Canis lupus familiaris: one gene and its partner. The protein of the gene in region 1 interacts with the protein of each later gene in a pairwise test. Links are inferred from orthologs where the notes say so. Each region holds a gene or a part of one and is shown on either strand. Other genes may lie near its edges.

What was found.
Region 2: the proteins of DHPS (region 1) and EIF5A2 interact in binary tests that used the Homo sapiens proteins (3 or more experiments, as listed by UniProt). The two-hybrid records come from large-scale screens. The link is inferred for Canis lupus familiaris from reciprocal best matches to the Homo sapiens genes DHPS and EIF5A2.

Annotation. Positions count from the first base shown.
Region 1 is NC_049241.1:49,833,048-49,837,291, reverse strand, and holds the start of DHPS (deoxyhypusine synthase), read right to left. Parts: upstream 2,801-4,244; coding exon 2,594-2,800; exon of another isoform or gene 2,552-2,593; intron 2,494-2,551; exon of another isoform or gene 2,381-2,493; coding exon of another isoform or gene 2,341-2,380; intron 2,255-2,340; exon of another isoform or gene 2,120-2,254; intron 1,985-2,119; coding exon 1,820-1,984; intron 1,585-1,819; coding exon 1,463-1,584; intron 1,380-1,462; coding exon 1,283-1,379; intron 1,208-1,282; coding exon 1,121-1,207; intron 733-1,120; coding exon 627-732; intron 548-626; coding exon 444-547; coding exon of another isoform or gene 426-443; intron 1-425. UniProt on the Homo sapiens protein: Catalyzes the NAD-dependent oxidative cleavage of spermidine and the subsequent transfer of the butylamine moiety of spermidine to the epsilon-amino group of a critical lysine residue of the eIF-5A precursor protein to form the intermediate deoxyhypusine residue.
Region 2 is NC_049255.1:35,577,921-35,582,068, reverse strand, and holds the start of EIF5A2 (eukaryotic translation initiation factor 5A-2), read left to right. Parts: upstream 1-1,348; 5' UTR 1,349-1,400; coding exon 1,401-1,565; intron 1,566-2,146; coding exon 2,147-2,251; intron 2,252-4,148. UniProt on the Homo sapiens protein: Translation factor that promotes translation elongation and termination, particularly upon ribosome stalling at specific amino acid sequence contexts.

The DNA of each region.
Region 1 (4,244 bases):
TATAGAGGCCAGGGTGCACCTATAAGCACCCAACTGGCAGCCCTAGAGGCCAGGCTCCTGCTGCTAATTGTCTCGGTCCCCTTCACTGGCCTGCTAACTGTCCCTTGATTTAATTCAGGCACCTCAGAGCCTTTGCACTGGCTGTTTTCTGTTTACAGGCTGTCTTTCCCAGAACTTCCCTTTTCTGAACAGCACTCCTTTCTTTTTCTCTTGCACTTGTCATCCCTCATTTTTTTTCCCACAGCAGCTAACTGCCCCGTGACATGCACATCACTTGCTTGCCACCTATCTCCCTGACTAGAACATCAGTCCAGGAGGACAGGGATCCTGGCCTATCTAGTCTACAGTTGTTGCCCTGGCACATGGCGTAGGCTTAGCACAGGTCTGTATGGCAAGCCCGAGTGCCACCCTCACTAGGAACCGGCTACTGTGTCCCCACTCACCATGAGGTTGGCATTGGCGATGTGGTGCTTGACCACACCCCCGCCCAGGATGATCATCCCAGTGCGCTTGGCAAAGATGGCCTGTGTGTTGATGAGTCGCAGGTCTGGGAGAAGAGCATTGTGGTCAGGCAGTGGACACAGCCACCCTACCTCCCCTGCTCCTCTGTGGCCCTAGCACCTCACCCTCAACAATGTCCAGGACCAGGCCTGGGTTCTTGTAGGAATGGAAGAAGATCATGTCGCCCAAGGAGCCATCTGTGAGCGCTGGGCTCAACACGGGGATGTGGTTCTAGGGAACAGCAAGATGAGAGCAACAAGCTCAGAGCCCAGCAGAGGCAGACTGGCCCCCATCCCAGTGGCATCCCCTCCTCTCTGCCTGATTCTAGGCAGGATGCTTACTAAGTTCTCTAGGCCTTAGCTTCTTCAACTGTAAAATGGAGACTGCAACAGCATCTCCATCACAGATGAAGCATATGTGATGAAACCAGACAAAACCAGTGGAGAATGGTAGCTCTCATTACTCCCACTGCTGGACCGCAGCGTCAGACAAACTAACATCTGTGTTGGCTTCCTCACCTAAGAGTGGAGATGATGAAATGGTTCTCCAGGTGGCTATGAAGGTGAAACAAGCTAACATGTGCCAAGGCCTGGTACCCTTGCCCTACCTAGTCCCTCACCTTCTGGGCCCAGTAATACACTGATTCTGGGTTGTTGATCTCCTTGCCCAGTCGGGCAATCATCTTGGAAGGTGTCCACTTCACACCCTAGGAGGAGACATTGACTTCAGCCAGCAGGGCCGCCTCAGTTCCACACCGACCCCCAGGGTGCTCCTGCCCCACCTCTGTGTTCTGCTCCAGCACCATTTGGTCCAGAATGGGCATCAACCAGTCCTCAAACTTGCAGTAATTGTCATTGGGCACCAGTAGGTTTCCAATCCTGCGGAACATGAGGCATGTGGGCATCGGGCCCCAGGATCCTCAGCCCAGCTCCCTTGCCCAGCATCACTCAGGGCCCCGAACCTGTTGATCCCGTTCTCACGTAGCTCCTTCCCCCTGAGACTGAAATCGCCCAGGTACGTGGGTGCCAGGCACTTGATAAAATCTTCCTCCACACCGCCAGCTGTGGTCACTAAGACGTCCACCTGCAGCCACAAATCAGGTTGGCCCAGGAAGAGGGGCCCTGCCGTCATGCCAGGTAGGGCTCCTCATTCCCAACACTAATCCAGTGACCCTTGGGAAAATCTCTACTGCAAAATAAAAGTAGATCCTGTTCCTCCGCTTAAAACAATCCTGTCTCCCTGTCATTTAAGTGGCCAATAATTTTTATTGCCCATAAGACCTAGAGAGGCCAAGTCCACAACCCCGCCAGGTACCCACCATGTTGTGCTGCACGAGGTAACGGATGGTCTCACGGATGCCTGAACTGATGAGATTGGATGTGTAGCCCAGAAAAATGGTGCAGCCAGTAAGTGGGCGGCGGCTCTGGGTCAGGTCTGCATGCTGGTCTTCATCCTGCGACAGCGGCTCTAGTTTCTTCTCTATCTAGGTGTAAGGGCAGAGTCAAGTTACCCTCTGGCCCCAAACTCTAGCCCGAGGGCTCCAAGTGGGTTTCAGGATCAGACTCCAGCCCCGGGGCCTGCCCACTCAGGAATAAGGAAACACTTCTACTTGGAATACCTGAAGCCAAGGAACGAACGCCCCCTGCGCAGGCTCGGCCCCATTCACCGCCCAAATCTCAAGGCACGCGCTCAGGTTTTATTCCCCTTTCAAGGAACTGGAGAGCACTACCTCTGCAGGCCTGGTCACTTTCCCCTTTGGAAAAAGCAAATCTGAGCCCAGACCCCGCCCTGACTGAGGCTCCTCCTCAACCGCACCGTTCAGAACACTTCACTCCTTACCTACAACCCGCCTCCTATCTAGCATCAGTCCCAACCTCATCCTGATGGTAGGATGCTATGGAGATGGGGAGGCACAAGGTCCTCTCCCCAGCACGGAAACCGCTGCCCAGAATGGACCCTGCCTCTCTCCACCTATTGGGCCGCCCGACAAAGGGCACGCCTCCTTCTCAAGGGAGCCCCGCCCCCCAGTACCGCATTGCCGCTACTGGAGGCCACACCCCCTCAACCCAGGAAGTTCCGCCCCAGGCTTCACCATGGCGTTGACTTGCTGCACTGCGCGCCCGAAGTTGGTGGCCTGGAAGCCAGTGGTGCCGAAGGCCTCCAGTAGCGCACGGTAGTCCACGCCGCGGCTGAAGTCGTAGCCTCGGACTTGGGAGCTCTCGGAGGGCAGCGCCGAGCTATGCTTCAGCACAGCGGCCAGCGCCGCCGCGGGTGCCTTCCCTTCCGGAAGACCCTCCATGCTCCCGCGGCCGCACTCTCAGATCACAGCCGCCCAGACCAGGCCTCCAGCGGCCTCGAAACGCACTAAGCCCCGGCACGCGCTTCTATATGACAGTGCAGGAAGTAGGGCTCTGGAAAACCTGCAGAAGGGGACGGGAAGTTGCTCAGTCACGTGACTCTTTGAGCCCCACAATCCAGGGCGCGGCCATGTTTGCGCATGCGTTTCCGTAATATGGAAGCCGCGAGGAGCCGTTATTGCCTGTTTCGCGTCTTGTCAGCCCGAGATGAATGAAGAGTCCTGCTTTCACTGCCGCCTGCTGGAGACCCACCGCGTTGCGCGGCGCTTTCCCATTCGTTTCTGTCCCTTTGGGAAGGAGGATGGCTTCTTAGACGTCGCCCTAGGACAGGATTCGAGTCATCAGGAAATGTCAGATAATTTCTGGCCCTGAGCGTCTCTCATCAAATGGTGTAGTGATCGCTGTCCGTACCAGAGCCTCCACATGCTGCGTAACCCTCTGGTCTTCCCCTGGTAGTTGCGGCCGTCACTTCTGGGAAGCCTTCCCTGACCGTCCTCTGGGTAAGGGACCTCCTCTGGGATCCAGGGCTGACCTCTCTTTCCCTCCAGCAAGACTGTGAGACCCTCGAAGGTGAGGTCTGTATCTCATGGGTCCTCCTAGCCCTGCATAGGGTTTGGTCCAGGGGGAATCTTTTAACCAGGCACTTTATAATTTATGGAGTCTATACCATACGTTGGGCTCTGTGTTTGGCGACTCAGATTTATCAGTGAACAAGATGCAGACCCTGCCCTCCTGGAGTCCATAGTTTGATTGGGGAGCTAGTAAAGCTAACCACAATAGTGATTAGTGCTATTGAGGATTCAAACATGATGTGTTTTTGAGGTAGGGGTGGTTGAAGGGGTTGATGGCCTTATTTGCAGGGACAGGTGGTTAGGGAAGGACACCAAGGAGGTGACATTTGAGCCAAGGCCAGAAAGCCAAGAAAGGCCCCATATGTGCAGATTTGGGGAGGCCTTTCCCCCACCATCCCCCAATGGGAAAGAGAACTGCCAGTGCAAAAGTCCTGAGGTCAGAGATTAGCCCACTTAACTGGAGGAAGAGAACATCCTCCCTGACATTTTTGACAGTCCCCACTTGGATCTCAAACTCACCACCTCAGCTCCCACTCCACTTAACGCTGATCTCCCTGCAGTCTTCCACATCTCATCAAAAAGCCCTCAACTCAGCAAATAAGCCCTCCATGCACCTAGTAGACCCAACACTGGAGAACTGAGCTTGACCTCTCTCCTTTGTTCTCACCCATCCCTCAGCACCTCCGCCAAGTTCTGCCCACAAAATAGGTCCCAATTCCAGGTGCCTTTTTATTATTATTGAGATAAAATTAACATATTCTATTAGTTTTAGATGTACAACATTCTGATTGGGTATTTGTATCCAGATGCTTCT
Region 2 (4,148 bases), on another chromosome or scaffold:
CCGCGATGCACACCGAGCCGCAGGGCTGACACCCAACCAGCTGCACGACGGCCCCAGGCGGAAGGACAGGCTGGGGCACCTCGTGCTGCGGGTTGGTCTCGCAGGGCCCACCCCCGAGGGTGCTGCGGACCCGTCCGGGCGCCCGGGGGTGGGGGGGCGATTCCTGCCAGAACCTCATCACCGGTCACCCAGCCCCGCCCTCGGGCTCGGCCTCGAGGCAGCGCCCACCTGCGCCTGCGGTTGCAGCTCCACGTTCCCGCCACCACTACGCAGGGCAGCCCCGTTGAAGTCGCGTGCGTCGCGCGACCTGAGGCCGTCACGTGACAACCGCCAGGCCCCTGAAGGGCCGGGGCCGCCACGCGCGCGCTCGGGCTCACCGTTGACTCCGACGGGGACCCCGGGCGCCCCGAACCCAGAAGTTCGCAGGCCCTGAGAAAGTGCTCACTTCACGCCGGAAGTGCACTAATCCGCAGCACGTGGGGTTGCCAGGGCGCGCTTCACGTGACGGGGCGGGGCCTCGGGACCCGCGTGGCCAATGGTGGCGCGGGGGGCGGGGCCTGTGACGCGCCGGGACCTATCCCGGAAGTGGGGCTGCGGCGGGGGCGGGCGGGGGCGGGGGCGGGGAGGCCGGGGTGTGGAAAGTGTGGCGGCCCCGCCCCGTCTCCTGGAACCGCCGGGGCCGCCGCCGCCGCAGCTGTAGGGGCCCGCGCCGGTGCGCAGGCGACAGGCTCGCTGTCCCCGGCTGGAAGGTGAGGACGTGGGCGAAGCCGGAGGGGCCGGGACCCCCGAGCGAGGCCGGGCCGGAGCAGGCTGAGCGAGGGAAGGAGGAAGGATGGATGGGGCAGCCGGGGCGCAGGCCCACGCGGGCCGGGCCGGGCCGGGCGGGCCGGGGATGCCGGCAGGACGGAGGGCGGAGCGCGAGCCGGCCGGGGGCCAGGTGCGGCCGCCCAGGTCCCGTTATCCCCATCGTGCGCGGGGACGCGCGGCCTGGGCTGGGCCCCCCGTCGCCGGCTGCCCCTGCGCTGGGACGGCGGGGCCGGGCGGGCTGCCCCCGGGGCGTCTAGCCCCACCGCCGCCCCCACCCCCGCCCCCGCCCCCGCCCCCGCCGAGCCCTCCTGCCACTTCCCTCCTCCGGGTGCAAAAGTTTATAGAGGCCCGAGTTAGAAAGTGCCCACTATTCCCGGGTGGGTGCTCCGCGAATGGGGGCGGGGGCGGGGTGGGGACTGGACCCGCGATGTCTGGCCCGCAGCCTGTCCGAAATGTGATGTCTCCCTGCCTTGCGTGCCCGTTGTTAAAAAAAAAAAGCGAACACAAACTTTTTTTTTTTTTTTTTTTTGCATAGTTTCCCTCCCCCCCCCCGCCCCCCGCCCCCGAGGAAGCTACGGTCGCCCCAGCCCACCATGGCGGACGAGATCGACTTCACCACTGGAGATGCCGGGGCTTCCAGCACTTACCCTATGCAGTGCTCGGCCCTGCGCAAAAACGGCTTCGTGGTTCTCAAAGGACGACCATGCAAAATAGTGGAAATGTCAACTTCCAAGACCGGAAAGCACGGTCACGCCAAGGTAAGTCAGTGCCCTTCCCCGGTCTCCCTTTGCCTTGCTGTTTTGATCATTTTGTATTCCAGTAGGGAACGTGAGATTTCCATATTTATAACTCGGCAATAATGACTTTTTTTTTTTTTTTTTTTTTTTCTTGACCACGATTTCTGAGTGACCAGCCATGGCTTTTTGAATACTGAAAGGTAGCATTTCCTTGTTTGGGCCCTTAATAATGTTTCGTTAACCGGTAATGGAAACTTTTTCCTGAATCCCAGTGATTTAGAATACATGTTCTGTTTATGGATGAGAAAACCTGTTCTAACATAACTTCATTTCTCTTACACAGTCTTATAACTGAATTCCTAGACTAGGAATTGGGTCTTGATAGGTCGTGAAGCTGTTTCGTTGTTCGCTGCTTCTCAATTCTCTGACCCCTGCTTTTTTTTTTTTTTTTTTTTTTTTTTTTTTTAAGAAAATAAAATTAGATGACCTTGGAAGGAGAAAGAATCTGTCATAATCAGCTTTGGTATTGTGCTCTTGTGTGTGTAATGAGTGATATACTTGGCAAAGATTAAACAGGTTTCCTGTTCTCCCTCCTCTGTTAGGTTCACCTTGTCGGAATTGATATTTTCACGGGCAAAAAATATGAAGATATTTGCCCGTCTACTCACAACATGGATGTTCCAAATATTAAGAGAAACGATTATCAAGTGAGTACTAGCTTCCTTTAAAATGGTGTTTTTTGTTTCTTAAAGTTGTAAATGCATTCTACTATCAACAGGAATTCAACAAAACCTGGTAGTAGTTTTGTAGGTTTTTCTAACCAGGTACTAAGCACCACCACCTATCTTAGAAATTGAAAATAGTGGTATTTAACACTTGTATCTTATCTAGAATTATAGCTGATTTGCTTTTTATTTTGACATTTTTGCATTCTTAAAAAGTTGAACATGTCTTATTATTTCTCAGACCAAGGGACTGCTTATTGTGACTAAGTTCAGTGTTCAGTGAAACTACTAAGCTTTCGTTGTAAAATATTTCCAATTCAGATAACTCCCCCCTGGATATTTTATTTCTTTTCACTTGTCAAGCCTAAGACTTTTAAGAAATCATTGGAATTCATGTTCCCCCAATCAAGTTTGTATATTATTGAATGTGAGTCAGAATTTGATATTCTTAAATAGGGAAGTGAGTTGAAAGTCTTTAATGTAAGGGATAAAGTATACCACCATGGCATATGGTAAAGAAAATACAAAACTATCTAATTGTTTTATTTACATTCAGTGACCATGCTGTGACCTTTTGTTAAATTATAGGTTTAGACTTCCAACTTGTAGTTCCAATTATACATTTGGATAAGTCATGTTTAATGATAGCATTTTGTTGTTTCGGAGTATTGGTGGTAACCAAACCATTGACCTCATAGGATGTGGGACCTCAGATTAATTATAACTAAAGTCTTTATTGTAAGTCTTCAATCTCATCGTCAAGCATACCGTATATAAAACTCTTTTTTGTTCATTTTATGGAGTCAGAAATGCAAGTGTGACACTTAGATTTTCTTCATTCATTTTAAACTGATTTCTTGCTGTACCTTTTATTCTATTATATACATGTTACCATCAACTGCAGTTAACATATGATTTCCTTTTATTTTGTACACATGTAAAAATATTTTTATGTAGTTTTTTTTTTAAGATTTTATTTATTCATGAGAGACACACACAGAGAGGCAGAGACACAGGCTCCCTGCGTGGAGCCTGATAAGGGACTCAATCCCTGGACCTGGGATCATGCCCTGAGCTGAAGGCAGATGCTCAACTGCTGAGCCACCCAGCCGTCCCTATTTTTACATAGTTTATTCTACTAAGCAGTTGTATATTTTCACTTTCCCACTTGTAAATGTTTTCTAGGTTGCTTTGGAGTCTTTCTAGAAATTTGCATTGTCTTATTATAATAATAGCATATTGAGTTTTTTTAATCAAACAATTTGGGTTTAGATCTGCTCCTGCCACTTTCTAGCTGGATGACCTTGGACAAATTATACAATCTCTCTGAGCCTCAATCTTCCATCTACAAAGGAAGGATAATGGGAGGATTAAGGAGAAAATGTATCCCATAATTACCTTATCGGTAGATATGTACCAAAAAGTAATTCTTTTCTGCTCCCCCCCCTTTGCCTTCATAAAAATTCCATCTAACCATTCCCTTGTACTTGGAACACCTAATTTAGACATGGCTTATAGTGGGTGCTCAATAAACATTTGTTAAATGCATGTGGGATTATTCAGTGAAGTAAGGATAGTGTAGCTAAGGCTAGGTATAGACTTTTCTTTTACCAAAAAATGGATTTCTGTTTTCATCCTTAACATGTGAATGCTTTGAATGTTCAATATTTATTATATATATATTAATATGTACTTAATACAGAATGCTTTTGCTTTTGGGCATTTCAAAAAGATAGTATCAGTAATTCATATGATTACTACTATGATCAAATTAACCAGTCATTGTTTGGAGTTCGAGATCTAACAAAAAGGAAAAATTTGGTTTGGGTTTTATTTGGGGATACAGCAGGGTCCAGACTAGGGTGAGGGGAACAAGGTA